Linked DNA regions of Lonchura striata. The protein of the gene in region 1 purifies or fractionates together with the protein of each later gene. This does not show direct contact. Links are inferred from orthologs where the notes say so. Each region holds a gene or a part of one and is shown on either strand. Other genes may lie near its edges. The genes, in order: KCNJ4 and DLG4.

Region 1 (14,876 bases):
CTTGAGGAGGGAACTATGAGCAAAACTCCAGCGCAGGAAGCTGCTGTCCTGATTTCCTCGCCCTGGGATGGGGCAGCCTCTGGCACCTGCCCACCACTGGCAGAACCTCCAACCTACAGCAGCTTCCTCTCCAGGTTGTTGGTGTTGGTGCTGCCGCAAACTCCTGCTCTCATTTTCCACCTCCCTCCAGCCTTGTCACCCTCTCCTTCACCTCACCACCCTGAGACCAACACCTGCCTGAGGCTGTACACCTTGCCACATCACATCCAACACAGCCCTCTCCTAGCCGGGAAACCTCCCAGAGAAAGAGGATGACTTCCCTCAAAGAGCCCATGGGGGAGGGCTGCCAGTTCCTATGGGCTATCACTGGCCTTTCCAGCTCCCATTTTGTTGTACCCTTCACCGAACTGCCCTCTGAGAAGGGCCACCCTCCTTCCCTGGGACATGGGAGCACTCACCAGCACAGGACTTGGACTTCACAATCTTCAGCAGGAGAATAATGATGGCCAGCAAGTGGGAGACATCCCCCAGGATGCGGAAGATGTTCATGGTGCTGGGGGGACTCCTCTGGGCTGGAGGGGCTGGGGCTCTTTCTGCAGGCAGAGAGGGCGAGGGCAGGAAGTTTTTCTCCACCGAGCCTCGGCTGAATGAACGGTCTCCTTCGGCTCAACTTTCCTTTCTCCCTGAGCACGGAGCCCTTCCTTCTCCTAACACAAAGTGCCGTCTCCCCTGTCCCGTGGCTGCAGATGCCTTTCCCCTGCCAGCCTGGATGTTTCCCTTGTTTACTTTTCCACCGAGGTGGATTCTCCCTCACCCAGAGCAGGGCCTTTCTCCCTCTGCTTTGGGCTGAAAGTTGGAGTTTGTGTCCCGGAGAGCTCTCCAGGCTGAGCAGCCCCACAGCCAGCGCTGGGTGACGGTGACGTGGCTCCTGGCTGGCCGGGGAGGAGAGAGAGGAGGAGGCAGAGGCGGGAATAACTGCGCTATTTTTCCCTTTCTTTTTTTTTTTCCCCTTCCTATTTTTTCTTCCCTGCTTGTCTCAAGTTACACACGGAAGTGTGGTTAAAGGGGAAAAGGCAGAGGGAAGAGGATTCCCATCCTCTGGCCTTGAGGACACACCCTCCGGCGAGGGCCAGACTTTCCAGGAATATTCGCCACGGGTGCAGTAACCTCTGTGCTGCTTCCAGCCTTCTGCTCTCTGCCCTTACCGGCCCCATCCCACCTGCAGCACCTTCTCACCAGTGCTCCACCTTGGCTCCTGCAGCCAAAGAAGAAGTGGAGAGATATTTGAATTATCAACCCATTGCAGCTCTTCCACAGCGACAGCCATTCCCTGGTGTCTGCCCTACCAGACACCCCTTCCTTCAGATGCCCTATCTGGAGCAGAGTGGATCCCTGAGCACAGCCATGGAGAAAGAAAATATTCTCCCAAGGGCTGGTTTGAAACAAACTTCACTGAAAATATTAATCCTGGATTCTTAGAAGGAAATCCTGGATTCCAGAGGGTTACAAAAAATGTAGGGAATTTGTTGAGTGAAAGAAGCATGTGGTTGCTGCTGGTTTTATAGATTTCACAGAAAAGAGCTCAGTAGTGAATGTTAGAAAGTTTTAATATATTTGAAAATATATTAAGCCGGGTGACCAGCTTGTTTTGGATGAACCTTGTCCTCGGAGCAGCAGTTACACAGGGAGATCTCATGGCAGCAGCAGAGAGACCTCTGCATCAAGATCCAGCAATTAGGTAGTCAATAGCTAATCACTAATTCAAAGCTGCTTTAGTACAACCAAATGGAAGTTGTAATTTGTCGCCTTGCCCTGAGCAAATCGCATCTGGCCACGGGTCTAATTTGGTTACCCTTGGATTGTGTGATCCTGCCTGCTCCTGTCCCAAAGTTGGCTCTGGCTGCTGCCCTCCCTGTCCCCAGCCATGACTTTTGGCCATCCTCTACGCATGTCTCTCTCTCCTTATGGGCTTGCTTGGAGTAAAATGCTTAACGACCAAAGTGTAAAAATATTATTCCTGGTGCTTTCCGAGAGGATTAACAAGCCTATTAGCATCACCGGCTCCCTTTCTGAATATATTTGCATACATTTCCTCCCTGCCCATTAGGTTGGCGGTTGTGTTTTCCCTCTCTGACGCTCCAGCACCTGCATCACAGGGCTTTTCCAGATGGATTCACAGGCCGGGTTGGAAAACACCTGCTCAGCCCCACGGAACTGGAGACGTCCCTGCCTGTTCCCAGCCAGGGCACTGAGGCAGGGGTTGCTGCGGTGGGTCAAGGGTGGGTTAGAGCAAAAGAGACGATTGGCAAAGGGCAAGGACTGCCTGAATTGGGTTTCCAGACATCAGAGTGGAGCTGCCTGGGATTTCAGCAGGGCTTCACAAGGCCATGTGGGTGCTGGTAAAAGCCAAGCCCCAGCCCTGGTGGCCCTGCAGGTCCCTGGTACCCCAGGTCCTTTTGCAGGTAGGCAGAGTTTTGATCCATGGAGCAGGGATGTAAAGTTGGGGGGAAGGAACAGATTTGGAGTCCTTTCTTCCAAGAAATCCCCTTCCAACCCCCTGGTGTGCAATGTCTGAGAGCCTTTGTCTTTCTCTTGTCCCTGCACTCCTCTTTGCAGCTTCTTGTCCCACCCAAGGAAAGAAGTCCCCTCCAGAGAAAGGCAAAGGTTTATTCTCCTCATCTTGCACCTTCCCAAGAAGAGCTGATGGGCCCAACTCCCAGCATTATCTCCCACTCTGGCACCTGGAACCACCAGCTGAGGTGACCATTAGAGGGACTTCATGGGAGCAGCCCAATCAAGCCCACCCAGCTGGAACAGGGTGGTAAGGCTGGGGTGTCCCCATGGAACACCATCCCTGTGTGGTACATGGGGGCCATAGGAAAGCTGCTGCAGTGCAAGGGACACCCAGGCTCTTAGAGACAAAACTGGCACATGGAGTGGGACCAAGTAAAAATAAACCTTCCCTCCTCCTGCCCTGCCACAATGCCAAGTTCCTTGCGCCGGGTGTCTCCCTGCCTCCCAAAATAATGCCGGGTGCTGCCACCACCCCGCATGGTGATGCTCTCTCCATGCCTCCCGTTTCCATGGTGACCACAAGGAATGTCGCCAGGGTGACAAGGAGGAAAGTGAGCTGGGATTTGATATTAAAAATGAGATTTTGGGGTTGTTTGGTTTATTTTTCTCTCTCTCTCTCCCCCCCCCCCCCAATCCCTCCTCCTTTAGTTCTATTTTTGGGGTTTCCCTCTGCCTCTGCTGGTCTGGAAGGCTCCTCCTGCAGAGCCACTGGGCCAGAGAGCAGCAGCTTAATTCAGGGCCCTTCTCCACCTCTGCCTATGAGGTGATGGCTGTGGGATGAGAAGAGGGACAAAAGGGCATTTCCTAATCACTAAAACAAATGTTTCCTTCTATCAAAAAGGCTTCTCTGCTTTTGCCCCTGGTGGTTCTCCAGGTGTCTCCCTCCAATTCTGCTGCAGGATGTAGATCAGGCTACATCCAGACCTTCTGGGAGAGTGGGCAGTCTCAAGGATTTGTCTAAGAGAGGGCAATGATTCTGCATTCCCAGAGGGGCTGGGGAACACGGTGGGGTTGAGCACCATGGGTCACCTCTGTGTCTCACCATCTCTGCCCCCATGACCAGATCAGGTTGGCTGGGCAGTTCTGGAATGCTGGGGACAGACAGACAGAGATAGGATGGTCGGTGGAAGATTGCAGACGGAACACGGCAGGTGCTAAGGAGCCCAGAATTTTGCTCTCTGGTTTAAACACCCAAAGTCAGACCTGCTCAACACAGAGAAGGCTTGACGGTTTGTGCTGGCTTAGCTGGTATTACAGGAGTGCAGGACCACGGGTGTCCAAGTAGGGGCTGCTGTCATACAGGTTGCTCGTCTCTTGATGCCCAGGCAGGAGAAGAGGCAGGCAGTGTTTTCTCACCTTCCCAGGAGCTCTTGCTTTCCACTGTACCCATCTCTCCATCCATCTCCAGCCATCCCTCTCATCCCTTTCTCTCTCTATCCATTCTTCCCTCCATCTTTTCAACCACCCCTCACTCCTCCTCTCTCCATTCATCCCTCCAAAGATTCCTCTGTCCATCTGTATGGCACTCTTTCCCTCCATCCCTCCATCCCTTTATCCGTCCCTCGTTCCACCCTTCCATCCCTCCATCCCTCCATCCCTCTGCCTCCCTCAATCCCCACAGTGGCACTGGGAAAGGTTGGCGGAGTGGGGCTATTTTTGGGAGCGTCTCCCTGGCAACGGCTGCCACCACCGTCTGTGGTGGTTTTTACATAGGTGCTAAAATATTCCACACTTCTTATTAAAGACGGTGCTGGTGGAGACGGGCGGGGGCGGCGAGTGTGAGCCACCCCGCTGCTGGGGCCGGCGGCCATGGGGCGGTCAGGGCATGGCACTTGGGGGGCACAAGGACAGCAAGGGGCCGGTGACATCTCCAATGTGGCGTCCCCATGCCCCTCTCGCTGCCTCTGGAAGGGCCACTTGTCTCTTGGCAGTGTCAGGCTGCCACACCATGCACAAGGTGCAGCTATCTACCCTCCTGCTGCAAAGGCAGAGGGAAATGTGGTGAGGCCTCAGAGGGAGCCAGCAGTAAGGAGCAAAAGGCAGAGAGGGAGACACCCCACTTGAGGCTGAGGCGGTCACAGGGCTGCACTTGGCTTTGCCCGCTCTGGGAAGGAGCAAGATGTCTCAGGCCCATCTTCATCCCTTTACCACATGAAGAGGAAAGGCCTGCTGTGGTGCCAGAGGGATGGTGCACTCTGCCAAAGAGCAGCTGGGCAGATACTGGTCAGTAGCTCTAGGGAAGCAGCCCCAAAACAGGTCCTAGAGACAAAGCTTTTGGGAAAATACGTACCCTCTGAACCTGAATGAGGTCCTCATAGGGATGGCTGCAGAGGGAGTGGATGGGCTGGCTCTGCTGCATCCAGGTGCAGCAGCTCCCCAGGAGCAGTAGGGAGCAGCCATGGGTGCACTGGGGTGAACTGACCCATTCAGCAGGCTGATGTGCTCCTGGTTTGCAGCTGCTCATCTGCATGGAGCTACTAAACCCACCCCAGCACCCTCTGCTGCCCCGGCAGTGGCTTTGCCAGGTGGGAACAGGCTGTGCTCACCACCGCAGTGTTCACTGGTGCTGGCAGGGCACAGCAGGCTCCACAGCATGTTGTGCAGGGGTCATCCTATATGCCACACCTTGGGAGGGTTTTGGGAGGGAGGGTCATAGTCCTTGCAGGATTGGGACCCAGAGGAGACTCAAAAAATGGGTTTTTAAATATTTTTTGACTTTTCAGCACAGGCCTTAACACTGCGGACAGCATATGAGGCACCAAGACAGAAACCATGTCCTCAAAAATGCTGTTCTGGAACAGGGCTGTCCCCAGGATCCTGTGCCTACAGCCACTGCCTGTGTAGTCAGGAGTCTCTTCAGCCTCTGTTTTTGCTGCAAAATCTCTCCTTGTCACCAAGAAGTGACCTTTTTAAAGCCTCTGAGATGCTGCTGGCCGTGGAGACCCAAGAGAGGTTTCTTGGACAGGTTTCCCAGCAGGATGGCTGTGCACTATCCTGGAGCCCTGAGGTCTAGTCCCTCCGTGTCCAGCTCCTGTCCCAGCATTACTCTTCCCGGCAGGAAATCACCAGCTCTGTAGCGTGGGGAAGCAATGCCCCACAGCAAACAGCATCAGCTGGGAGAGCCTGGTCCTTCCTCGGGGCTAGGTGTCAGCCCAGCACCCCAAATCCAGGTGGGAAAAAGCCCTCTGACGGTAGTTATTTAATCTCTGTGCAGCCGCCCAGGAGGAGGATTCACCTCTCTGGCGGCCCCACCATCCCCTTCCCGCTGGGGATGGTCGCTCTGTCTCCCCCATGGCGGCTCCGCAGCTCTGAGCTCACACGCGAGGATGGGCTAAAGTAGCGGAAAGCTGTTGGATCCTACCACAGAGTTACTGACTTCTCAGCTACAGACTGCATAGCAATCAGCGAGGGGGAGAGGCAGCCAGGGAAAGGGAGCGGAGCGCAAAGGGAGGAAGAGTGTCAGGGAGAGGGGGGATCTGGGGACTAGAGCAGGGGGGCAGCAAGGGGCACGGGCAAATCATGCCAGAGAAGGAGGGAGCCAGGCAGGAGGGGGAGACCTAAACCCGTCGCTGAGCCACGAAGGCACATCAGCACTCCGTGGGATGGACGCTCCTGGGAGCAAAAAATTCTGAGAGGCAGAGGCAGAAGGAGAGCGCTGGCGTGGGCAGGGCAGAGTTAGGAGAGGAGCAGGTCGCAGCGGAGAAGTAGCTCTTCGGAGGGGAAAAAAATAAACCTAGGCTGGAGGCGAGCGAGGACTGCAGAGAGACTCCCCTGATTCCTCCGGTCCGGCTGAGACATTTCGTGGTGAGATGGAAAGACCGGGCGCTTTTCCCTTCCTCTGATGTTGGCTCGGCACGGCTGGAGCAGGCGGCAGCCCTCGGCAGGACCCGGGTAAGAGGCGGTGCCGGGGCGCGCTGCTCTCCGCACCGGCATGAGAGCGCGAAGGGTTTTTCTCCCTTCGGAAAATAATGTATTGTTTCATTAGCGTTCGCTCTGAGGAACAGCTATAAATATAACTTGGGGAGAGATGCGTGGCTTCGTGTGAGCGTGCCAGTGAATAATAAAGTTGCCTTGTGTGCATGGCGTATGCACGCACAGCTACCGGGGCGGCCACGGGCCGAGGGGCAGGGGTGGGCTCCTGCCTCTAAACCTCCCCAACTTCCCTCCCCGCCCTCTCGCCACCCTAACTTCGGTCCCTTTGTAGGTAACTTCTTCATTTTTTCAGTTCCCCGTGTTTTCTTAGTGTCTTCTCGCCCTGGGCTGGATCTTGCTCACCTTTTACTTCTCCTGCTCTGTAGACTCTTCTCTGTGCTGGTCCCAGCCAGTTCACACAGAAGGAGGCAGCTGGAGGCCTGCTCTTCAGGCTCTCGGGTGCAAATGGGGCTGAAGTGGATGTGTTTGTTTTCCTGCTGCTTGTGGAGCTTTTTGGGCTTCAGATCTGTCCCCCTCTCCATTGCCGTCCACCTCTCCTAGTCCCAGCAAGGCTGATCATGCCAGTGGTGGTCCAACACCCCCCAGACAGGCATGGTGCAAAGGGTCTTCTGGATAGTGGCTTTGGGTGAAGGAGCTCAGGAGGAAGCCAGGAGCAAACTACCAGGAAAACTCTGCCTTTGCTCCCTGTTCAGAAGGTCGGCTTCCCCACCAGGACAGGAGTGGGCAGGCAGGTTTGCATGGTGCTGGCAGATCACCCCGGACATCCCTGGCCCATCAGCCCCCAAGGCCCTCCCTCCTGGGCAAATAGCCTGGAGTCATCCAAATCCTTTTGGCAAGAGCCTGGCGCTTCCTATCCCTGCAGCCCAGCCCTGACTCCATTGATGGCAAAGCAAACAGCATCTCTGGGGCCTCTCCCTTCTCCCCTTGCTCCCCTTGGGGGTGTGCTGTGAAGGGCAGAGAGTGACAGAAACTCATGGCAGAGGTGACACAGCTCCAAGGCTACCTTCAATCCCTGCTCTGTGCCCTCCTTGGCTGCTTGGGGGGAGTCATCCACAGGAGATGGGAGGTGTGGAGATGAGCCCAGGGCTTGGGGTTATCCGGGGCCTGGGCGGGATCAGGAAGGTGCATGGGGAATACATCTTGACAGAGACATGGGAATGTGTCCCTTCTCCATCCACCACCAGAAGTGGCACCCACAGAAGCCTGAGACACCCTGGCAGTGTGTGGCCACTCCTGTTTGCAGACACTGAAAATAGTAATCAATACAGGGCAAATTGTGCTTTAGTGGGAAGCATGAATCTGCTGGGGACAGGGAGTGGTGGGGAAGAGGACAAAAGGTGAGGATGGACACAAAGGATAAGCTGGAGAGGGCTGATCTGGAGGGAAGCGGGTTCCCTCTCCTCCACCATTTTTTTCTTCCATCTCTCCCCGTTTGGGGATCAAAGTGCTCAGATCAAGTGCCCTGATGTGTGGTGCTGGCAGGGGGCAGGCAGTGGTCCTTGTCCCTTGCAGTCCCCCGCCATGGTTTTCAAGGAAAGCCAGGAGGTGGCTGGGGAGGGATGGAGTTTCTTGGCAGGACCAATCCCCACTGGCCCCTCCAGCTTCTCGGCCACCCCAAGCTCAGCCACCGGCCACGCCCGGGAAGCAGCTGCATCCCTGGGGTGGTGTCAGTGACAGGAGGCGCGGTGATGGATACCTGTGCCCGCCGCACGCTGCCATCAGTGCGGACGCCGAGCGGAGCAGTTAATGGCCCCGTGCCCCCAGCAAGCCCCGCTATCCCGCCTCGTTATTGCACTGGGCTGGCTTAACCCGGCACTGCGGCCAGGGATCGATAGATGGATGCTGGCGTCTCAGCAATCGATCTCTTACTCATCCACGCGGCTCCCAGCCTCCCGCTGCCGCTCGCTTTCCTGTGAATGGCACGGGCCGACTGGAGCCGTCTGCGCTTGCCTCGCAACGCTGCGAAACTGAGTCAGGCTAAATTCCTGCTCCTTGACGTCACTGCTCCTGTGCCCCTTACCAGGGCGGAGAGACCTCACAGGGAACCCCCAGAGCCACCGGCACCGGTTTTGCTCGCCAGACAAGGTGGTTTTAATGGTGATGGCTGGGATTGGAGCCCCTTCTTGGGAGAGATACTGATTCTCTGGCAGAGAGGGGCTTGGGACAGGCAAGAGCTGCTTTTGAGCTGGTTCTCGCCCTCAGACCTCTGAGGCTTGTTCTGCAGCAGTGAAGGTGGTGTCGTGGCACGGGCTGCTGAGGGATGGGAGTTGTCTGCAATGTGACCCTGTCCCCGTGGCCCCAGAGACTCATGCACCTCCACGCCTGTCCTCCTGGGAGCCTGGCAGCAGGCAGCTTGCTCCAGGGACAGTTTTGTCATTCACTCACTGGTCTATCTGGGAAGGAGATGCCCACCATCTCCTGGCACCAGCCATGCTGGCACAGCAGCACCACTGCTGCTCTCACTGGAAATCAGAGACTGGAGGGTGGAGAACAAGGTACTCCAGCCCGGCACCTCCCCACGCCGCCAGCCAGGGGCTCCTGCTGCCGCTCTGCCCACGCCCCTGCCACCATGGCAGTGGGTCTGCCCCTCACAATCTGGACGGCTGTTTTATTTCTATGGCAACATTTCTCCTGAAACACTTCAGAGGGAGCCTGGTGCTGTTCGATAATGAGGGAAGCAGCGTCCCCCATTCTGTCCCCTGCAAAAGGCTCAGAGAAACGACCCTGACACATCTCCCCACCTCCTTCCCTCCCTGGCAAGCGGTACCAGCATTAGTACAAAGAGCTGCTGGCCTTGTCCCAGCTGCTTCTCTGCTGCCTGCTCTCCTTTCTCCTGCCTTCAGCTTGGCTCTCCCCTCTCCTCTCGCCGGCTCCCTTTCTGCTGGCAGCCCGCTAAAGCACCCGCGCAGACTGACCAGCTGAAAGGAGTCTCAGAGCAAGTGGATGTCGAAAGTGACTCTGCTGTAGAGGAGGGTAAAGCCCCGGGAGAGCTGTATAGATCGGCCCCGCCAGCAGCACGGTGAGTGCGGGGCTGAAGGGCACCGGGGATCCCAGAGGCCGGGCAGACGGGCGCTTCATCCCTCTGAAGAGCTCGATGGCATTATGAAGAGGCGGTGCCTGCCACGGGACCAGGCACAGCGGCCCCAGAACTCCTCTCCTCTCCCGTTCCCGTTGCTCCCAGCACCAAGAAACGGCCTCGTGTCCGGGTGGAGGTGAGCAGGCAGAAGTTGCGGGCAGCACCGAGCGCCAGCGGGCGATAGGCAGGTGAGCGGGCAGGATCCCAGCGGGAGCGGCTGTCGCAGCCGGAGGAGCAGGGTATGACAGCACCCGTGGTGACGGCGGGGGGGATATCGCAGTCCTGGCAGGGTGCAGGTGCAGCCACCGTGTCCCGCTTCGCTCTGCTCTCCCCCAGCCCTTCCTTGTCGGGGAGATGGAGGGTAGGGGAAGGAATCCTCTGTACTGCGTGAGTTCGGCAGCACTTAGGCTTGACCCCTTCCAGATGTGCTTGTTAAACCTGACGGATGAAGCCGCAGCAATAGAAGTCAGCAAACCTGTAGTGAAATACTTGATCCACTCTCTGCGTTTTCCAGCTTACCTGGGATGCTCCCTCTGCTCTGTTTCTGGTGTCTAGCAGAGATGGCCGAAAGGGGAGCAGCTGGAGCCCTTTCAGGAGGCTCGTGGCTCTGCTCAGTTCCCTCTTAGCCCAGCGACAAGGCGGGGTGAAGGGAGATTTTTTTCCCCTGTCTCGGATGGGTTAGTGCTTAGCAGCCAGGCCAGGCTGGGCACTCAGCTGTCGTGCAGCAGCTGGGTGTGGAGAAGTGGCTGCAGCCTCTCTAGATCGGGGACTTGGCGCAGAGCAGGCTTTGCCCTGGTTATTGCTTGCCCTTGCTGCTGTCACTGTTATTATCATCATTCATAAATTATTTGCAGGCATCTGCCTTGTTGGGTGCTTGGCAGAGTCACCGGCAGTCCATCCCTGCCCTGTCAAGACCACAACTGCAGCAGGCAGGCTGATGATGCAAGCCACTCTTACCCCCTCTTTTCCTGCACACTGATAATTATCCTTGTCCCCTGACTAGCCAAAAGGCATCAAGACATCCCACATGGCCAGGCACTTTGTGCTGAAGAAATGGTGAAGGGATGCTGTTGGGAATGGCCTTACACCAGGGCTCCTGCAGGGCAGGACGCCCAGTGAAGGGAGCTCCAGAGATGTGATTAATGAAGACACCCTTTGCACTGTGCAATTGTGCTGGGAAGCTGGAGGAGGTGACCTGAGTGCACTGTATCTGCCTGGGATGTGAGGACATCAGGGACACCCCAGAACCTTCAGTTTTTCACCTCTTGCAGGTTTTGCACTAACCTTTTTGGGTCTAGTCTCTGGTTTTGGTGGCAGGGTGCTGGAGGCATGTCAGCCCCTCTGCTTCCTCAGGAGCAGGTGGGATGCAATCTGCACCCTGGCTGCTACAAAAGCTTAGTTCCCTTTTGTCCAAGAACACCACCCAGGGAAGGCCAGGGCCCTTCTGAGCATTTAATTTTTCCTATGATGCCAGCTACAGAGAATAACACCCACCTTCCTCACTCAGCAAGAAAAAGCAGGGACTTCTCCCCACCTGCCAATCCAGCAGCATCCTCTCTTTACAATCCTGCTCAGTCCACCCCCCAGCCCCTGTGTCATGTACTCCCAGCCTCATTTTGGCCAAAGAGGAGTGGGTGAATGCTGGTGCCAGTCCCACCAGCCCCACCATGGGGTATCCCCCACCTAGTCTGCGATGCTGGGGAGTAGGCAGCTGTTCTCACAGCGCCATTGTCTGGACGGTGCAGCCGCAGCAGGGATCGCTGGGGCGGTGTGGGAGCAGGCGGGAGGTGATGCTGTCACCTTTCTGTGCCTCTCCCTGACTTTGTCATCCCGGGGACCTTTGTGTGGTTCACATTTTTATCTGTTTTTTCTTCCTCTCACTCTTTCTCTCCTTCTCTCTTTGCTTTCTTCTCTCCCCCTCCCATCAGCATGTGGGCTGATCACTGCTCAAACTTTTAATTCAGATGGTAATTGGAATAATAATACGGGCAGAATCCTTCTGGCTCCGTTGCTGCAGCTGGCTTCAGGGAGCTATGAATAGCTCTGAGTCACACACTGAGATGGTTTAACTTCAAATCATTTTGTTTTGTTTTCATATTACCCATCCTCAGGCTCCAGAGCTTCACAGGGGGAAAAAATATCCCCCCTTCTCACTCCACTCCAAAATATAAAACCGAGCAGAAGCACATGAATAAAATCCTCTTTTGGAGAGGGAAACTGGTCAGCGGATCATGCCTTGAGGGGCAGATGGGGACTGTTGGCACCTGATCTATTTATAATTATTGAACGAAAAGGCAGAAATGTGTATATAAAAATGGTATAGAGTTGATTACAGCTTCCTCCCCTCACCTTCCATATGTCAGTTGCCTTTTTAATATGGTAAAACTCTCCTGCACAGTGACTGTGCCTTCGCGTGTGCCCATACAGCGCCTGGCAGCCTGCCCTGCCGGCACGGAGCAGAGAGAGCTCGGCCGCTGGCTCTTGCGGCAGGACAGCCACCCATGGCACAGACTGCCCTGTCAGCCCCAGCATGGACCCTGGGAATATTCCTGAGGAACAGGAGAGATGGAGTTACGAAGAGGATGGAGAGGACATATTGTATGCTGTGGGTCTGCAAGGCTCTGCAAAAAGGCAGAGAGGTCCCTCCTCAGCTGCGGGCGTTTCCGCCCTGGCTCCCCGAGAGGCGAGAAGTTCGTCTGCCGTGTTGTCACCGTGCCCGAGCTGGCAGGATGGGGATGTGGATGCTGATCCCAAGCCAGCCGGTGCCATGCAGCCGGTAACAGGGACAAGGGCACAAAGCAAAGTGCAACCAGCGGCTGTGGTATTGACCACAGACTGGAGAGAAGCATTTGCCAGACAACTCCAGATAAAGCAAAGACTAAGAGTGTAAAAATACCCTGGGATTTTTCCATCGTTGTCGCTCACAGTGTATGTCCCAGAGCACCAGATATGGTTGTTATAAAAAGAGAAGTGGGGGAGTGCTTTAGCGTGGACTTTTCTGTTCTGTTTCATGAGACTCTTCCATTGCAAATGTAAGAAAGGATTGACAATATATGATCTACTCTGGCAGGGGCTGGAGAAAGACTGGGACTCCATCCCTGTACACAGGGATGGAGCAATGGAGGTACTGCCCTGGCACCAAACACCTTCTTGACCTTATTATCCTGCAGATCCCTTGGAAAGGGACAGGAGCAGTGCAGCCCCACGTGCCTGCTGAGGGCCAGAGCAGAACTGGAGTGGCAGCGTGGGCTGGTGTGATGGCTTGTGCTGCTGGAGCATGGTGTCACACGGGAAGGAGGAGATGATTGCAGCACCGTGGTGGTGTCCCTGGAATTGCTCAGTCTAAGACACAGGAGGAGGGAGAGTCACTGGGTAAGAAGGAAGGGCAGCACATGCCTTGGGGCTAGAGGCAGCTGCTGGGCCCTGGAGACCCATCTGGTTGACTGTTGCAATGCTGCAACCCAGTGGCTGTGACATCCATGCTGCAGCAGCTTTCAAAAGTGCTGGGGGGCTTCTGCAGGCCATGAAATTCGTGGGTGTTCATGTACACACAGGACAGGCAGCAGAGGGATGGAGAGGCATCTGTCCAGGCTGAAGCCTCCTGCCTAGCATCTCTCCTTGCTGCACCCACCAGCTTGGTTTCATACCTCTCCATAGGAATTTCCACTGACTCTGCAGCTTCCTCCTTCACATGTGGGTCTCAGGAGACAGAGCAAGCTCCAAGAAATGCCCTCAGGCATGCTCTGGATTTGTATCTCTGTCCTCAGCCAGGCTTTCCTCCCCCCTGTCCATGTGACAGGCAGCTGCCTGTTCAGGATATGAATATAATCCCCTTCTGCTGGAGACACCTCTGAGCCTTCCCCTTTCATTCCGTTTGCATTTCAGGTTTCCAAGTTGCAATGGGACCTTTTCACAGCCACTTGAACTATGTTTACATAGGGTTTGGGCTCCTGGTAAGCCCCCAGGCCTTGCCAAGCTGATGGAACCGATTTTGCCATCAGGGATCTCAGTGGTGGCCCTGGCCCACCAGCTGCTGAGGAGGGACAGTGACCCAATGTGGCAGCAGTCCCCAGCCCAGGCGTTTCTTGCCTGCCTGTCTGTCCTTCCCATGGCGGCACCACGCGCTGTGGGGGTGTGTTGGGGTGGAAGTGGGAAACGTGTTTATTTTTGTTCGTCTCCTGGCTCGTGCCGCTCTGAGTTTGTGGCACTCGGTATTACTAACACTTCCCTGTGCCAGCTGGCAGCAGGGGATGAATCAGATTGGCAGCACCACAGCGTGGACCCTCCGCTGGCCGTTCAGCTTAGAGCGATGCCTGTGGCCAAAGTGCTGGTGATGTCTCCTGCCCCTGTCCAGGGTGAGCCCCAACCAAGGGCCAGTGGCTTGACCTTGCTGGTGGAGACGTCTCAGTACCCTGTGGGACAGGGTTGTCCCCTCTGACCCATGCTACCTGCCTGGCTGGATTGTCCCTGTCCTTCCTTTACGTTGGAGGTCTCAGGGAGCTTCATGAGCTGCTCTCTGCTCACTGGCAACATCCCCAAGCTGGGGTCAGCTTTACAGCCAGGAGGACAGCTTACCCTCGTGTTGCCAAAAACACCTTTTGCAGCTGTTGTGGTTTAACTCCAGCAGACAACTTAGGTATCACTCAGCCCCTCTCTCCCTCTCACTGCCCCAAGCCACAGTGGAGAGGGGAATCGAAAAGGTAAACTTCATGGGTTGAAATAAGAACAATTTAATAACTGAAACAAAATATAACAATAATGAATATGTTAATGATATTAATATTATGATCATCAACAACAATAACAGAAATAGTAATAATAAGCACAGAAAGAGAGAATAACAGGACCCAACAGAAACAAGTGATGCACAGCCTCATTACTCACCACCCAATGACTGATGCCCAGCACGTCCCCAGGCATTCGTCAGCCCCTTCAGTTAAATCCCCCACTTATATTCTGGGCATGATGTTCTGTGGCATGGAATATCCCTTTGGCTAGTTTGGACCAGCTGTTCTGGCCATGCTCCCTCCTGGATTCGTGTGTAGCTCCTCAGTGGCAGAACATGGGCAGCTGGAAAGTCCTTGTCTTGGAGTAAGCCACAACTTAACAACAACTCCAACATGTCTGTGTTATCAGCATTATTCTCATACTAAATCCAACACTGTGCTGGCTACTATGAAGAAAATTAATGCAGTCCTAGACAGAATCAGGACAGCAGTTGATTGCTTCCTCCCCATCCCCTGCTTCTGACAACTCAGCACACGTGGAACTTGACATCATAGACCTTGGAATG
Region 2 (14,876 bases), on another chromosome or scaffold:
AAAGGGGCGGGCCTCTAAAAGGGGCGTGGTCTCTCCATATATGGTAATTTGCTCCAAAAGGGGCGTGGCCTCCCGGGTGGGCGGGGCTTACCTGGCTGGGCAGGTGGGCGGGGCTCTGCTCCAGGGGGGGGCTGTCCTCATCTTGGTACCGGTATTTCTGCAATGTATGCAAATTTATGCAGATTTATGCCAAGCGGTGTGAGAAATAGGCACGTTTATGTAAATTTTTATTGTTTATGCAAATGAGGGCGGCGCGACGGCCACGCCCAGTTGATCCCAGTCCATCCCAGTTTGGGATTTGGGGATTGGACAGGATTAAACTGGGAGGGTCCCGGTGCTCCCAGTATGGAACTGGTGAGTCCCAGTATAGAACTGGGGGGTCCCAGTATGGAACTGGGGAGTCCCAGTATAGAACTGGGGAGTCCCAGTGCTCCCAGTATGGAACTGGGGGGTCCCAGTATGGAACTGGGGGGTCCCAGTATAGAACTGGGGGGTCCCAGTGCTCCCAGTATGGAACTGGGGGGTCCCAGTATGGAACTGGGGGGTCCCAGTGCTCCCAGTATGGAACTGGGGGGTCCCAGTATGGAACTGGAGGGTCCCAGTATGGAACTGGGGGATCCCAGTGCTCCCAGTATGGAACTGGGGAGTCCCAGTGCTCCCAGTATGGAACTGGAGGGTCCCAGTATAGAACTGGGGGGTCCCGGTGCTCCCAGTATGGAACTGGAGGGTCCCAGTATGGAACTGGGGGGTCCCAGTGCTCCCAGTATGGAACTGGGGGGTCCCAGTATGGAACTGGGGGGTCCCAGTATAGAACTGGGGGGTCCCGGTGCTCCCAGTATGGAACTGGAGGGTCCCAGTATGGAACTGGGGGATCCCAGTGCTCCCAGTATGGAACTGGGGGGTCCCAGTGCTCCCAGTATGGAACTGGGGGGTCCCAGTATGGAACTGGGGGGTCCCAGTGCTCCCAGTATGGAACTGAGGGGTCCCAGTATAGAACTGGGGGGTCCCAGTATGGAACTGGGGGGTCCCAGTGCTCCCAGTATGGAACTGGGGGGTCCCAGTGCTCCCAGTATGGAACTGGGGGGGTCCCAGTATGGAACTGGGGGGTCCCAGTGCTCCCAGTATGGAACTGGGGGATCCCAGTGCTCCCAGTATGGAACTGGGAGGTCCCAGTATGGAACTGGGGGGTCCCAGTATGGAACTGGGGGGTCCCAGTGCTCCCAGTATGGAACTGGGGGATCCCAGTGCTCCCAGTATGGAACTGGGGGGTCCCAGTATGGAACTGGGGGGTCCCAGTATGGAACTGGGGGGTCCCCATCTGGAACTGGGGGGTCCCAGTGCTCCCAGTATGGAACTGGGGGGGTCCCAGTGCTCCCAGTATGGTCCAGTGCTGTTCCCAGCGCTCCCAGTCCCCCTCCAGTCCCTCCCAGTACAAACCAGTACAAACCAGTAACCCCAAATCCCCATTTCCCCATTTTTTCTCCATTTTTAACCCTTTTTTGCCATTTTTTCTCAATTTTTCCCCATTTCCCCCCCACCAGTCCCCTCCAGTCCCCCCCAGTCCGTCCCAGTCTGTCCCAGTCCGTCCCAGTCCCTCCCAGTTCATCCCAGTGCTCCCAGTGCCCCTTCCCAGTTCATCCCAGTCCCTCCCAGTCCCTCCCAGTACAGACCAGTAACCCCAAATCCCCATTTCTCCATTTTTTCTCAATTTTTAACCCTTTTTTGGCCATTTTTTCTGCATTTTTCCCGGTTTTTGCCCCTCCCAGTCCGTCCCAGTCCGTCCCAGTCCGTCCCAGTCCATCCCAGTGCCCCTAGTCCCTCCCAGTACAAACCAGTACAAACCAGTAACCCCAAATCCCCATTTCCCCCGTTTTTTCTCCATTTTTAACCCTTTTTTTGCCATTTTTTCTGCGTTTTTCCCAGTTTTTCCCGGTTTTTGCCCCTCCCAGTCCCCCCCAGTCCGTCCCAGTCCGTCCCAGTCCGTCCCAGTCCGTCCCAGTCTGTCCCAGTCCCCCCAGTCCGTCCCACCTTGCAGCCAAAGGCCAGCGAGAGGCTCCGGTCCCTCCCGAGCCGCTCCCAGTGCTCCCAGTGCCCCTTCCCAGTTCATCCCAGTTCATCCCAGTTCATCCCAATGCTCCCAGTTCCCCTTCCCAGTTCATCCCAGTCCCTCCCGAGCCACTCCCAGTGCTCCCAGTGCCCCTTCCCAGTTCATCCCAGTCCCCCTCCAGTCCCTTCCAGTACAAACCAGTACAAACCAGTAACCCCAAATCCCCATTTCCCCCGTTTTTTCTCCGTTTTTAACCCTTTTTTTGCCATTTTTTCTCCGTTTTTCCCCATTTTTCCCCCTCCCAGTCCCTCCCAGTCTGTCCCAGTCCGTCCCAGTCCGTCCCAGTCCCCCCCAGTCCGTCCCAGTCCGTCCCAGTCCCCCCAGTCCGTCCCACCTTGCAGCCGAAGGCCAGCGAGAGGCTCCGGTCCCTCCAGACCAGGCGGCACTGGCACAGCAGCGGCGAGAAACAGCCGGGACCCCCCCGGGACCCCCCCCCGCAGCCCGGGACCCCCCCCGGGACCCCCGAACCCAACGGGGCCGGGGCCGCTCCCGCCATCGGCCCCCCCGGGACCCCCGGGACCCCCCCCGGGCACCGGGACCCCCCCCGGAGGATCCGGGATTAGCGGGGATTAACGGGGGGGAGGGGATAACGGGGGGGGGGGGCTGGGGGGGGTCCGAGAATGATCCGGGACCCCCAAAATACACCCGGGACCCCCCCCGGGACCCCCAAATATCCCCGGGACCCCCCAAAATAACCCCGGGACACCCCCCCGGTTGTACCGGGACCCCCCCCGGAGGATCCGGGATTAGCGGGGATTAACGGGGGGGAGGGGATAACGGGGGGGGAGGGGCTCGGGGGGGGATCGGGGGGGGCTGGGAACGATCCGGGACCCCCCAAATATCCCCGGGACCCCCCAAATATCCCCGGGACCCCCAAAACCATCGAGAGCAGCACCAGAACCCCGAAACGACTCCCAGGACCCCCAAAAAATCACAGAGAGGGGTCAGAGAGACCCCAAAAATCACAGAGAGACCCCCGGGACCCCCAAAAATCACAGAGAGACCCCCAGGACCCCCAAAAATCACAGAGAGACACCCGGGACCCCCAAAACCATCGAGAGCAGCACCAGGACCCCGAAACGACCCCCAGGACCCCCAAAAAAATCACAGAGAGGGGTCAGAGAGACCCCAAAAATCACAGAGAGACCCCCAGGACCCCCAAAACCATCGGGAGGAGCACCAGGACCCCCAAATGACCCCCAGGACCCCCCAAAAATCACAGAGAGGGGTCCGAGAGACCCCCAGGGACCCACACGGTCATCAAGAGACCCCCGAGACCCCCGAAAACCATCGGGAGGGACCCCAAAAATCATCGAGAGGGGTCCGAGAGACCCCCGGGACTCCCCAAAACCATCGAGAGGGGCCAAGAGAAACCCTCAGGGACCCCCCAAAAATCATCAAGAGGGGTCAGAGAGACCCCCGGGACCCCCCAAAACCATCGAGAGCAGCACCAGGACCCCAAAACGACCCCCAGGACCCCCCAGGACCACCCCAGGACCCCCAAAAGGAGCCTCGGGACCCCCAGAACCAGCGAGAATTGCCCCAAAACGGCGCCCAGGACCCCGAAAATGAGACTCAGGACCCCCAAAACCACCGAGAATTGCCCCAAAACTGCACCCAGGACCCCCAAAACGATCCCCAGGACCCCCAAAACCAGCGAGAATTGCCCCAAAACGACGCCCAGGACCCCCAAGAAGACCCCCGAGAGGGGACTCGGGACCCCCAAAACCAGCGAGAATTGCCCCAAAACGGTGCCCAGGACCCCCAAGAAGACCCCCGAGAGGGGACTCAGGACCCCCAAAACCAGCGAGAATTGCCCCAAAACGGCGCCCAGGACCCCCCCAGGATCCCCAAAATGAGACTCAGGACCCCCAAAACCAGCGAGCATTGCCCCAAAACGGCGCCCAGGACCCCAAAACGAACCCCAGGACCCCCAAAAGGAGCCTCAGGACCCCCAAAACCAGCGAGAATTGCCCCAAAACGACCCCCAGGATCCCCAAAATGAGACTCAGGACCCCCAAAACGACCCCCAGGATCCCCAAAACCACCGAGAATTGCCCCAAAACGGCGCCCAGGACCCCCGAGAAGGGACTCGGGACCCCCAAAACCAGCGAGCATTGCCCCAAAACGGCGCCCAGGACCCCAAAACGACCCCCAGGACCCCCAAAACGATCCCCAGGACCCCCAAAACCAGCGAGAATTGCCCCAAAACGGCGCCCAGGACCCCCAAAAGGAGCCTCGGGACCCCCAAAACCAGCGAGAATTGCCTCAAAAAAGACCCCCAGGACCCCCAAACCCCCCCCCCATACCTGTCCTCGTGTGACCCCTCTGAGCCCCCGGACCCGCCCCCCTGGCTCAGGCCACGCCCCCTCGCTCAGGCCACGCCCCCTTCGCTCAGGCCACGCCCCCTCGCCGTCTCCACGGCGACGCGCGCCGCCCGGCGGTCACGTGGGCGGGGCCGAGTGGGCGGGGCCGCCGCTTTTGGCGCGCCGCCGCCATGGCAACGAGCGCGGGAAGGCGTTGCCATGGCAACGCGGGGGGAGGGGGCGCGGCCTGGGAACAGCGCGGGGGGAGGGGGCGGGGCTCGGTCGCCGGGGCAACGGCGTGGGAATTTTGGGGGATTTTGGGGGAATTTGGGGGATTTTGGGGGATTTTGGGGGAATTTTGGGGGGTTTGGGGGGATTTTGGGGGAATTTTGGGGGGTTTGGGGGGATTTTGGGGGATTTTGGGGGAATTTTGGGGGATTTTGGGGGAATTTTGGGGGGATTTTGGGGGATTTTGGGGGAATTTTGGGGGGTTTGGGGGGATTTTGGGGGATTTTGGGGGAATTTTGGGGGATTTTGGGGGAATTTTGGGGGATTTTGGGGGAATTTTGGGGGATTTGGGGATTTGGGGGGATTTTGGGGAGATTTTGGGGGATTTTGGGGGAATTTTGGGGGATTTTGGGGGAATTTTGGGGGAATTTGGGGGGTTTGGGGGATTTTGGGGGAATTTTGGGGGATTTGGGGATTTTGGGGGGATTTTGGGGGAATTTTGGGGGTTTGGGGGGATTTTGGGGGGATTTGGGGGGAATCTTTGGTGGAATTTTGAGGGGTTTTGGGGAATTTTTGGGAAATTTTTGGGAATTTCGGGGGAATTATGGGGGAATTTGAGGGATTTTTGGGGGATTTCAGGAGAATTTTTGGGGATTTTGGGGGATTTTGGAGGATTTTGGAGAGATTATGGGGAATTTTGTGGGATTTTGGGGGGAATTCTGGGGAATTTTGGGGGATTTTGGGGAATTTTGGGGAATTTGGGGATTCCTGAGGGGAACTCAGGGATGGAAGAAGGAATTGGGGGGGGGGGAATTTTTGGGGGATTTCGGGGGAATTTTGGGAGGATTTTTGGGAGGTTTGGGTGGATTTTGGAGAATTCCGGCGGATTTTGGGATGTCCGGGCCAATCCTGGAGGGATTTTGGGGATTAAAGGTGAATTTTGGGATTTAATGCGAATTTTGGGGCGGTTTAAGGTGAATTTTTGGGAAATTCAGGTGAATTTTGGGGGATTTAAGGTGAATTTTGGGGAGATTCAGGAGAATCTTGGGAGAATTTTGGGGATTTCAGGTGAAATTTTGGGGATTCGGGTGAATTTTGGGAGGTTCAGGTGAATTTTGGGTGAATTTTGGGGCTTTCAGGTGAATTTTTGGGGTTTGAGGTGAATTTTTTGGGATTTAAGGTGAAATTTTGGGGTTCAAGGTGAATTTTGGGGGATTTAAGGTGAATTTTTGGGAATTCTGGTGAATTTTGGGGGTTTAAGGTGAATTTTGGGGAGATTCAGGAGAATTTGGGGGATTTTAGGTGAATTTTAAGAGTTTAAGGTGAATTTTAGGAAATTCAGGTGAATTTTGGGAGAATTCGGGTGAATTTTGGGAGGTTCAGGTGAATTTTGGGGGGATTTAACGCGAATTTTTGGGAAATTCAGGTGAATTTCGGGGATTTCAGCTGAATTTTGGGTGTTTTGGGTGAATTTTTCCCAATTCCTGCAGATTTTAGGAGAATTTCTGCAGATTTTGGGACCAATTTTGGGGATTTTGGGGCTCTTGGTGCCATTTAGGGCCAAATTTTGGGGATTTGGGATCGATTTGGGGGATTTGGGGGGTTTTAGTGCAATTTTGGGGATTTTAGGGCAAATTTTGAGGTTTTAGGGCAAATTTTGGAGTTTTTAAAGCTCATTTTGGGATTTTTAGGGCCAATTTGGTGTTTTAGGGTCAATTTTGGGGGTTTTAGGGCCGATTTTGGGCTTTTGAAAGCAAATTTTGTGGTTTTTAGGGCTGATTTTGGGAGATTTTGGGGTTTTTAGGGCTGATTTTGGGAGATTTTGGGGGTTTTGTGCCGATTTTGGGGGTTTTGAAGATTTTAGGGCCAATTTTGGGGGATTTTGGCATTTTGGGGCCGATTTTGGGGGATTTGGGTCCGAATTTGGGGCATTTTGGGGTTCGCAGGGTCAATTTGGGGCCATTTTGGGGGTTCAGGGCGGTTTTGGGGGATTTGGGGATTTTTTAGGGTGGATTTTGGGGGTTTTGGGGCCGATTTTGGGGCATTTTGGGATGTTGGGTTGGTTTTGGGGCATTTTTGGGTGTTTTAGGGCAGATTTGGGGTTTTAGGGCCAGTTTGGGGGAATTTTGGGGGTTTTAGGGTGGATTTTTGGGCGGATTTTGGGGGTTCCGAGCGGCATTTGGGGTTTCAGGGTGAGTTCCAGGAGATTTTGGGGTTTTTTGGGCGGATTTTTGGGGTTTCAGGGCAGATTTTGGGATTTCGGGGCCAGGTTTGGGAGATTTTGGGGTTTCAGGGCGAATTTTAGGAGATTTTGGGGGTTTCGGGTGGGATTTGGGATTTTGGGCGGGATTGGGGTTTCAGGGTGAATTTTCGGAGATTTTGGGGTTTTTTTGGGGGCAGATTTTGGGGGGTTTTGGGCAGATTTTGGGGATTCCAGGCGGGATTTGGGATTTCGAGAGGGATTTGGGGTTTCAGGGTGAATTCCAGGAGATTTTGGGGTTTTGGGGGAGGATTTTGGGGGGGGGTTGGCAGATTTTGGGGTTTTTTGGGTGTATTTTGGGGATTCCAGGCGGGATTTGGGATTTTGAGAGGGATTTGGGGTTTCAGGGTGAATTCCAGGAGATTTTGGTGGTTTTTGGGCAGATTTTGGGGGTTTTGGGGCGGCTTTTGGGGGATTCCGGGCGGGATTTTGGGGTTCTGGAAGGGATTTGGGGTATTTTGGGCGAATTTTGGGGTTTTTTGGGTGTATTTTGGGGATTCCAGGCGAGATTTGGGATTTCGGGAGGGATTTGGGGTTTCAGGGTGAATTCCAGGAGATTTTGGGGGGTTTGGGGTGGATTTTTGGGGGTTCCGGGTGGGATTTGGGATTTCAGGCGGGATTTGGGGTTTTTTGGGCAGATTTTGGGGTTTTTGGGGTGGATTTTGGGGGGTTCCGGGTGGGATTTGGGGTATTTTGGGCGGATTTTGGGGTATTTTGGGCGGATTTTGGGGGGTTCCGGGCGGGATTTGGGATTTCAGGTGGGATTTGGGGTATTTTGGTCGGATTTTGGGGGTTTTTGGGCAGATTTTGGGGGTTTTGGGCGGATTTTGGGATTTTTTGGGCGGATTTTGGGGGTTCCGGGCGGGATTTTGGGGCCCCCCCCCCGCCCCCACGTGCGCCGCCCCTCCCCCGCCGTTGCCATGGGAAACGCCGCGGCCGCCACGTGGTGACACCCCCGAGATTTGGGGGGACACCGCCCCTCCCCCACCCCCAAAAACCCCCAAAAAACCCCCAAATCCCCCCCGGGAACCCCAAAATCCAGCAGGGGTCGGAAAACCCCCCAAATTCTCCCCCAAACCCCCAAAATCTGCCCCAAAACCACCACAGGAACCCCAAAAAATGCCCCAAAATTCCCCAAATCCCCCAAATCTCACCCGGAGCCCCCCAGGACCCCCCAAATCAACCCCGGAGACCCAAAATCCCCCCAAATCCATCGGAACCCCCCAAAATCTCTCCAGATCCCCCCAAAATCCTCTCGGGATCCCCAAAACCTCCCCAGGACCCCCCAAATTCCCTCCAGACCCCCCAAAATCCCCTCCAGGACCCCCCAAAATCCCCCAGGACCCCCAAAACCTCCCCAGGACCCCCAGATCCCCTCGAGACCCCCCAAGATCTCCTTGGGACCCCCAAATTCCCCCAAAATCCCCCCAGGACCCCAAAAATCCTCTTGGAGCCCCAAATTCTGCCCCCAGCCACATCGAGACCCCCAAAATCCCCTCGAGACCCCCCCCAGACCCCCCCAAACGCCCCCAAATTCCCTCGAGACCCCCCCAAAAAATCCCCAAACCCCTCGAGACCCCCTCAAATGCCCCCAAAATCCCCTCGGAGCCCCCAAAAAACCCCAAAATCCCCTCGAGGCCCCCCCCCAAATCTCCCAAAAATCCCCCCCCCCCACCAGGAGCCCCAAATCCCCCCAAATCCTCTCGAGACCCCCAGATCTCCCCCAAATCCCCTCAGGACCCCCCAAATCCCCCCCAGACCCCCCCAAAAACACCCCAAAACCCCTCGAGCCCCCCCAAAAACCCCTTCGGAGCCCCCAAATCCCCCCCTCGAGTCACCCCGAATCCCCCCCACCCCCAGGAGCCCCCCAAAAAACCCCAAATCCCCCCAAAATCGGCCCGAATCCTGCCGAGACCCCCCCCCAACAAACGGCGGCGGTTTTGGGGGGAATCCGCGCGGTTTTGGGGTACCTTGGTGGTGACGATGCACAAACAATCCATGGCGGCCGCTCATGGGCCGGGGGGGCCGCGCGAGGAGGAGGAGGAGGAGGAGGAGGAGGGGAGGAAGGCTCGGGAGGGGGAGGAGGAGGAGGAGGGGGGGGGGATGGGGAGGATGAAGGCTCCGGAGGAAGAGGAGGAAGAGGAGGAGGAGGAGGGAGGAAAAAATGGGGGGGAGGAGGAGGAGGGTGGAGAGGATGAAGGGATGAAGGCTCCGGAGGGAGGGGAGGAGGAGGAGGAGGATGAAGGGATGAAGGCTCGGGAGGGAGGGGGAGGAGGAGGAGGAGGATGAAGGCCCCGGAGGAGGAGGAGGAGGAGGAGGGGGGGGGGGGATGAAGGGATGAAGGCTCGGGAGGAAGAGGAAGAGGAGGAGGAGGGAGAAAAGAGGGGGAGGATGAGGAGGATGAAGGGATGAAGGCCCCGGAGGAGGAGGAGGAGGAGGAGGATGGGGAGGATGAGGGGATGAAGGCTCCGGAGGAGGAGGAGGAGGAGGAAGGCTCGGGAGGGGGAGGAGGATGAAGAAAAGGGGGGGAGGATGAGGAGGAGGAGGAGGATGAGGAGGATGAAGGCCCCGGAGGAGGAAGAGGAGGAGGATGAAGAAAAGGGGGGGGGGGATGAAGGCTCGGGAGGAGGAGGAGGAAGAGGATGGAGAGGATGAAGGGATGAAGGCTCGGGAAGAAGAGGAGGAGGAGGAGGGGGGATGAAGGACCAGGATGGAGGAGGAGGAGGATGAGGATGGAGGGGATGAAGGGATGAAGGCTCGGGAGGAGGAGGATGAGGATGAAGGGATGAAGGCTCGGGAGGAGGAGGATGAGGATGGAGGGATGAAGGCTCGGGAGGAGGAGGAGGATGAGGATGGAGGGATGAAGGCTCGGGGGGGGGAGGATGGAGAGGAGGAGGAGGAGGAGGAGGATGGAGGGGATGAAGATCTGGGGGGAGGAGGAGGAGGAGGAAGAGGAGGAGGAGGAAGATGCGGCAGCGGGAAGGGAGGAAGAGCGGGAGGAGGAGGAGGAGGAGCGGGAGGAGGAGGAAGGCTCGGGAGGAGGGGCCGGGAGGAGGAGGAGGAGCGGGAGGAAGGCCCGGGAGGAGGAAGAGGAGGAGGAGGAAGATGAAGGAGCCGAGGGGATGAAGAAGGAGGAAGAGGAGGAGGAAGATGAAGATGAAGATGAAGATGAAGATGATGAAGATGATGAAGATGATGAAGATGAAGATGAAGATGATGAAGATGAGGATGATGAAGATGAAGATGAGGATGAAGATGAAGATGAGGATGAGGATGAAGATGATGAAGATGATGAAGATGAAGATGAAGATGAAGATGATGAGGATGATGAAGATGATGATGAAGATGAGGATGAGGATGAAGATGACGAAGATGAAGATGAAGATGATGAAGATGAAGATGATGAAGATGAAGATGAAGATGATGAAGATGATGAAGATGAAGATGAAGATGAAGATGAAGGAGCCGCCGGGGGGAGGAAGAGGAGGAGCAGCGCGAGGAGGAGGAGGAGGGAGGGATGAAGGCTCGGGGGGGAAATTCGGGAATTTTGGGCGGAATTTTGGGGGCAGAAAAGTCGGGAATTTGGAGGGGGAAATTTGGGGATTTTTTGAGGGGAAATTGGGGAATTTTGGGGTTTTGGGGAAATTTGGGGATTTTGGGGGTTTTGGAGGGGGAAATTTGGGGATTTTCGGGGGAAATTTGGGGAATTTTGGGGGGAAATTTGGGGAATTTTGGGGGGAAATTTGGGGAATTTTGGGGGGAAATTTGGGGAATTTTGGGGGGTTGAAATCGGGAATTTCTGGGGGAAATTTGGGAATTTGGGGGGATTTTGGGGGGGAAATTCGGGAATTTGGGGGGTTTGGGCAAATTTGGGGGTTTGGGGGGATTTGGGGTGGAAAAATTGGGAATTTTGGGGGAAAATCGGGAATTTTCGGGGTTTGGGGGGAAATTTGGGAATTTTGGGGTTTAGGGGGGGAACTTGGGAATTTTGGGGGAAAATCGGGATTTTTAGGGGGGATTTGAGGGGAAAAATGGGGATTTTGGGGGGTAAAATTCGGGATTTTGGGGATTTGAGGGGAATTTGGGGATTTTGGGGGGAAATTTGGGGGGTTTGGGGAAAAAATGGGGATTTTGGGGGGAATTTGGGGGGAAAATGGGAATTTTGGAGATTTAGGGGGAAAATCGGGAATTTTGGGGGGAAATTTGGGAATTTCTGGGGGAAATTTGGGAATTTTGGAGATTTAGGGGGAAATTGGGAATTTTCGAGGGAAATTTGGGCAATTTTGGGGGAAAATTCGTGATTTTGGGATTTCAGGGAGGATTCGAGGGGGAAAATTGGGAATTTTGGGGTGAGAATTTGGGGTTTGGGAGATTAGGGGGAAAATTGGGGATTTTAGGAGGATTTGAGGGGAAATTTTGGGAATTTCGGGGGAAATTTGGGGATTTTGGGGAGAAACTTTTGGGATTTTTGGGGGAGCGGCAGCGGCGGGGGGAGGGGCGGAAGGGGGGGAGGGGTTGGGGGGATTTCGGGGATTTTGGGGCAATTTGGGAGATTTTGGAGTGAATTTTGGGAGGTTTTGTGAGGATTTGGGGTTTTTTGGGAAATTTTGGGTTATTTTGGGGAATTTGGGGTTTTTTTGGCGGCGATTTTGGGATTTTTGGGGAAATTTTGGAGTTTTTTGGTGAAATTTTGGAGGTTTTTTGTGGAGATTTTGGGTTTTTGGGAAATTTTGGGGTTATTTGGGGGAATTTGGGGTGGATTTTGGGGGATTTTGAGTTATTTTGGGGAATTTTGGGGGGGTTTTGTGGCGATTTTGGGATTTTGTATTTTTTGTGGAGATTTTGGAGTAATTTGGGGTTTTTTTGGTGGAAATGTTGGTTTTTCTGGGGGTATTTGGGGTTTTTACGCGGAGATTTTGGGGGAATTTTGGGGTTTGGTGAAATTTTGGGTTATTTTGGGGAATTTTGGGGGTTTTTTTGGTTGCGATTTTGGGATTTTTGAGGGGATTTCGGGTTGGTTTTTTTTGTGAGGATTTGGTTTATTCGGGGGGAGATTTTGGGGTTTTTTGGGGAGATTTTGAGGAAATTTGGGGGATTTTTTTTGGTGGGAATTTTGTGGGGGTTTGTGGGGATTTTTTTAGGGGAAAATTTGGGGGGAATTTGGGGGATTTTGGGGATTTTTGGGTTACCCGGGGCCGGGGCTCGGGGCCGCTCACGGAGCTCTCGTAGCTCTCCTGGATGTCTGGGGGGGAAAAACGGGGTGAGAGCCCAAAAATTCCCAAAATTCCCCAAAATATCCCCAAAAATTCCCAAAATTCCCCAAAATATCCCAAAAAAATTCCCCCAAATTACCCAAATTCCCCCCAAAATATCCCCCAAATCCCCCAAAAATCCCCAAAATCGCCTCAAATCACCCAAAATCCCCCAAATCCCCCCAAGTTCACCCAAAATTCCCCCAAATCCCCCAAAATTCCCCAAAATCTCCCAAATTTCCCCCAGATTTCCCAAATTTCCACCAAATTTCTTCAATTTCTCCCCAGAATTTTGGAATTTCTCCCCAAAATCCTCAAATTTCCCCCCAAAATCCCACTCAAATTCCCCCAAAATTCCCAAACTTTCCCCTGAATTCCTCAAAATTCCCCAAAAATCTCTCAAGTTTCACCTAAAATTCCCAAATTTCCTCCAAATTCCCAAATCTCTCCCCAAAATCCCCTAAATCCCCCCAAAATTCCAGATTTTGCCCCCAAAATCCCCCCTAAACCCCCCAAAATCCCATTCAAACTCCCCCAAAATTCCCGAATTTTCCCCAAACTCCCCCAAAATTGCCAAATTTTTCCCAAAATTCCCCAAAATTCCCCAAATTTCCCCTAAAATTCTGGAATTTCTCCCCAGAATCCCCTAAAAACCCCCCAAAATTCCAAATTTTTCCCCCAAATCCCCCCAAAATTCTCCCCAAAATTCCCAAATTTCCCCCGAAATTCCCAAATTCCGCACCCAGCAGGGCCTGGAACAGGCGGCTCAGCAGGACCCTCAAAACCTCCCAGGACCCCCCAAAATCCCCCAAAAAATCCCCAAAATTCACCAAAAATCTCCCAAATTTACCCCAAAATTCCCAAATTTTTCCTAGAATTCCCAAATTTCCCCCAGAATTCCAGAATTTCTCCCCAAAATCCCCAAATTTTCCTCCAAAATCCCCTAAAAAACCCCTAAAATTCCCAAATTTCCCCTCAAAATCCCCCCTAAACCCCCCAGATGACCCAAAAATCCCCAAAAATCCCCCAAAATCTCCCAAATTTCCCCCAAAATTCCAGAATTTCTCCCCAAAATCCCCTAAAAACCCCCCAAAAATCCATATTTTCCCTCCAAATGCCCCCCAAATTCCAAATTTTCCCCCCAAATCCCCCCCAAATTCTCCCCAGAATTCCCGAATTTCCCCGGAATTCCCGAATTTTCCCGGAATTCCCAAATTCCGCACCCAGCAGGGCCTGGAACAGGCGGCTCTGCAGGACCCCCAGGAGCTGCCGGGCCCGGAGCCGGGGGGGGACCCCCAGAAACTCGTCCAGGAGCCGCCGAGCGCCTGCGCCCCAAAATCGGGAATGGGACCCCAAAAATGGGGAGGGGACCCCGAAATTGGGATTTGGGAACCCAAAATTGGGATTTGGGACCCCGAAATTGGGGAGGGGACCCCGAAATTGGGGAGGGGAACCCCAAAATTGGGATTTGGGACCCCGAAAATGGGATTTGGGACCCCAAAATTGGGATTTGGGACCCCGAAATTGGGATTTGGGACCCCAAAATTGGGATTTGGGACCCCCAAATTGGGATTTGGGACCCCAAATTGGGAATGGGACCCCGAAATTGGGAATGGGACCCCGAAATTGGGAATGGGACCCCGAAATTGGGAATGGGACCCCGAAATTGGGATGGGAACCCCAAAATTGGGATTTGGGACCCCGAAATTGGGATTTGGGACCCCAAAATTGGGATGGGAACCCCAAAATTGGGATGGGAACCCCGAAATTGGGATTTGGGACCCCGAAATTGGGGAGGGGAACCCCAAAATTGGGATTTGGGACCCCGAAATTGGGGAGGGGACCCCGAAATTGGGATTTGGGACCCCGAAATTGGGGAGGGGACCCCGAAATTGGGATTTGGGACCCCGAAATTGGGGAGGGGACCCCGAAATTGGGATTTGGGACCCCGAAATTGGGATTTGGGACCCCAAATTGGGGATGGGACCCCAAAATTGGGATTTGGGAACCCCAAAATTGGGAATGGGACCCCCGAAATTGGGGATGGGACCCCGAAATTGGGGAGGGGACCCCGAAATTGGGATTTGGGAACCCCAAAATTGGGAATGGGACCCCCGAAATTGGGATTTGGGACCCCGAAATTGGGGATGGGACCCCGAAATTGGGATTTGGGACCCCGAAATTGGGATTTGGGACCCCGAAATTGGGGAGGGGACCCCCAAATTGGGATTTGGGACCCCAAATTGGGGAGGGGAACCCCAAATTGGGATTTGGGACCCCCAAATTGGGATTTGGGACCCCGAAATTGGGAATGGGACCCCAAAATTGGGATGGGACCCCGAAATTGGGGAGGGGAACCCCAAATTGGGAATGGGACCCCCAAAATTGGGATTTGGGACCCCAAATTGGGAATGAGAACCCCGAAATTGGGATTTGGGACCCCAAAATTGGGATGGGACCCCCAAATTGGGGAGGGGAACCCCAAATTGGGGATGGGAACCCCAAAATTGGGGAGGGGAACCCCAAATTGGGATGGACCCCGAAATTTGGGACAGGGACCCCGAAATTGGGGAGGGGAACCCCAAATTCGGGTTTGGGACCCCAAAAATGGGGATGGAACCCCCAAATTGGGGATCTGGGACCCCCAAATTCGGGTCAGGGACCCCGAAATTGGGGATGGGACCCCGAAATTTGGGACAGGGACCCCAAAATTGGGGAGGGGA

What was found.
Region 2: the proteins of KCNJ4 (region 1) and DLG4 purify together in Homo sapiens (affinity purification with western blotting, with the first as the bait; 3 studies listed by BioGRID). This does not show direct contact. The link is inferred for Lonchura striata from reciprocal best matches to the Homo sapiens genes KCNJ4 and DLG4.

The regions. Positions count from the first base shown.
Region 1 is NC_134607.1:23,756,537-23,771,412, reverse strand, and holds the start of KCNJ4 (inward rectifier potassium channel 4), read left to right. Parts: upstream 1-5,962; 5' UTR 5,963-6,465; intron 6,466-9,446; exon of another isoform or gene 9,447-9,771; intron 9,772-14,033; exon of another isoform or gene 14,034-14,876. Other genes in the region: KDELR3 (ER lumen protein-retaining receptor 3), read right to left, coding at 459-549. UniProt on the Homo sapiens protein: Inward rectifier potassium channels are characterized by a greater tendency to allow potassium to flow into the cell rather than out of it.
Region 2 is NC_134636.1:1,785,566-1,800,441, reverse strand, and holds the start of DLG4 (disks large homolog 4), read right to left. Parts: upstream 9,988-14,876; 5' UTR 8,902-9,987; coding exon 8,872-8,901; intron 158-8,871; coding exon 92-157; intron 1-91. UniProt on the Homo sapiens protein: Postsynaptic scaffolding protein that plays a critical role in synaptogenesis and synaptic plasticity by providing a platform for the postsynaptic clustering of crucial synaptic proteins.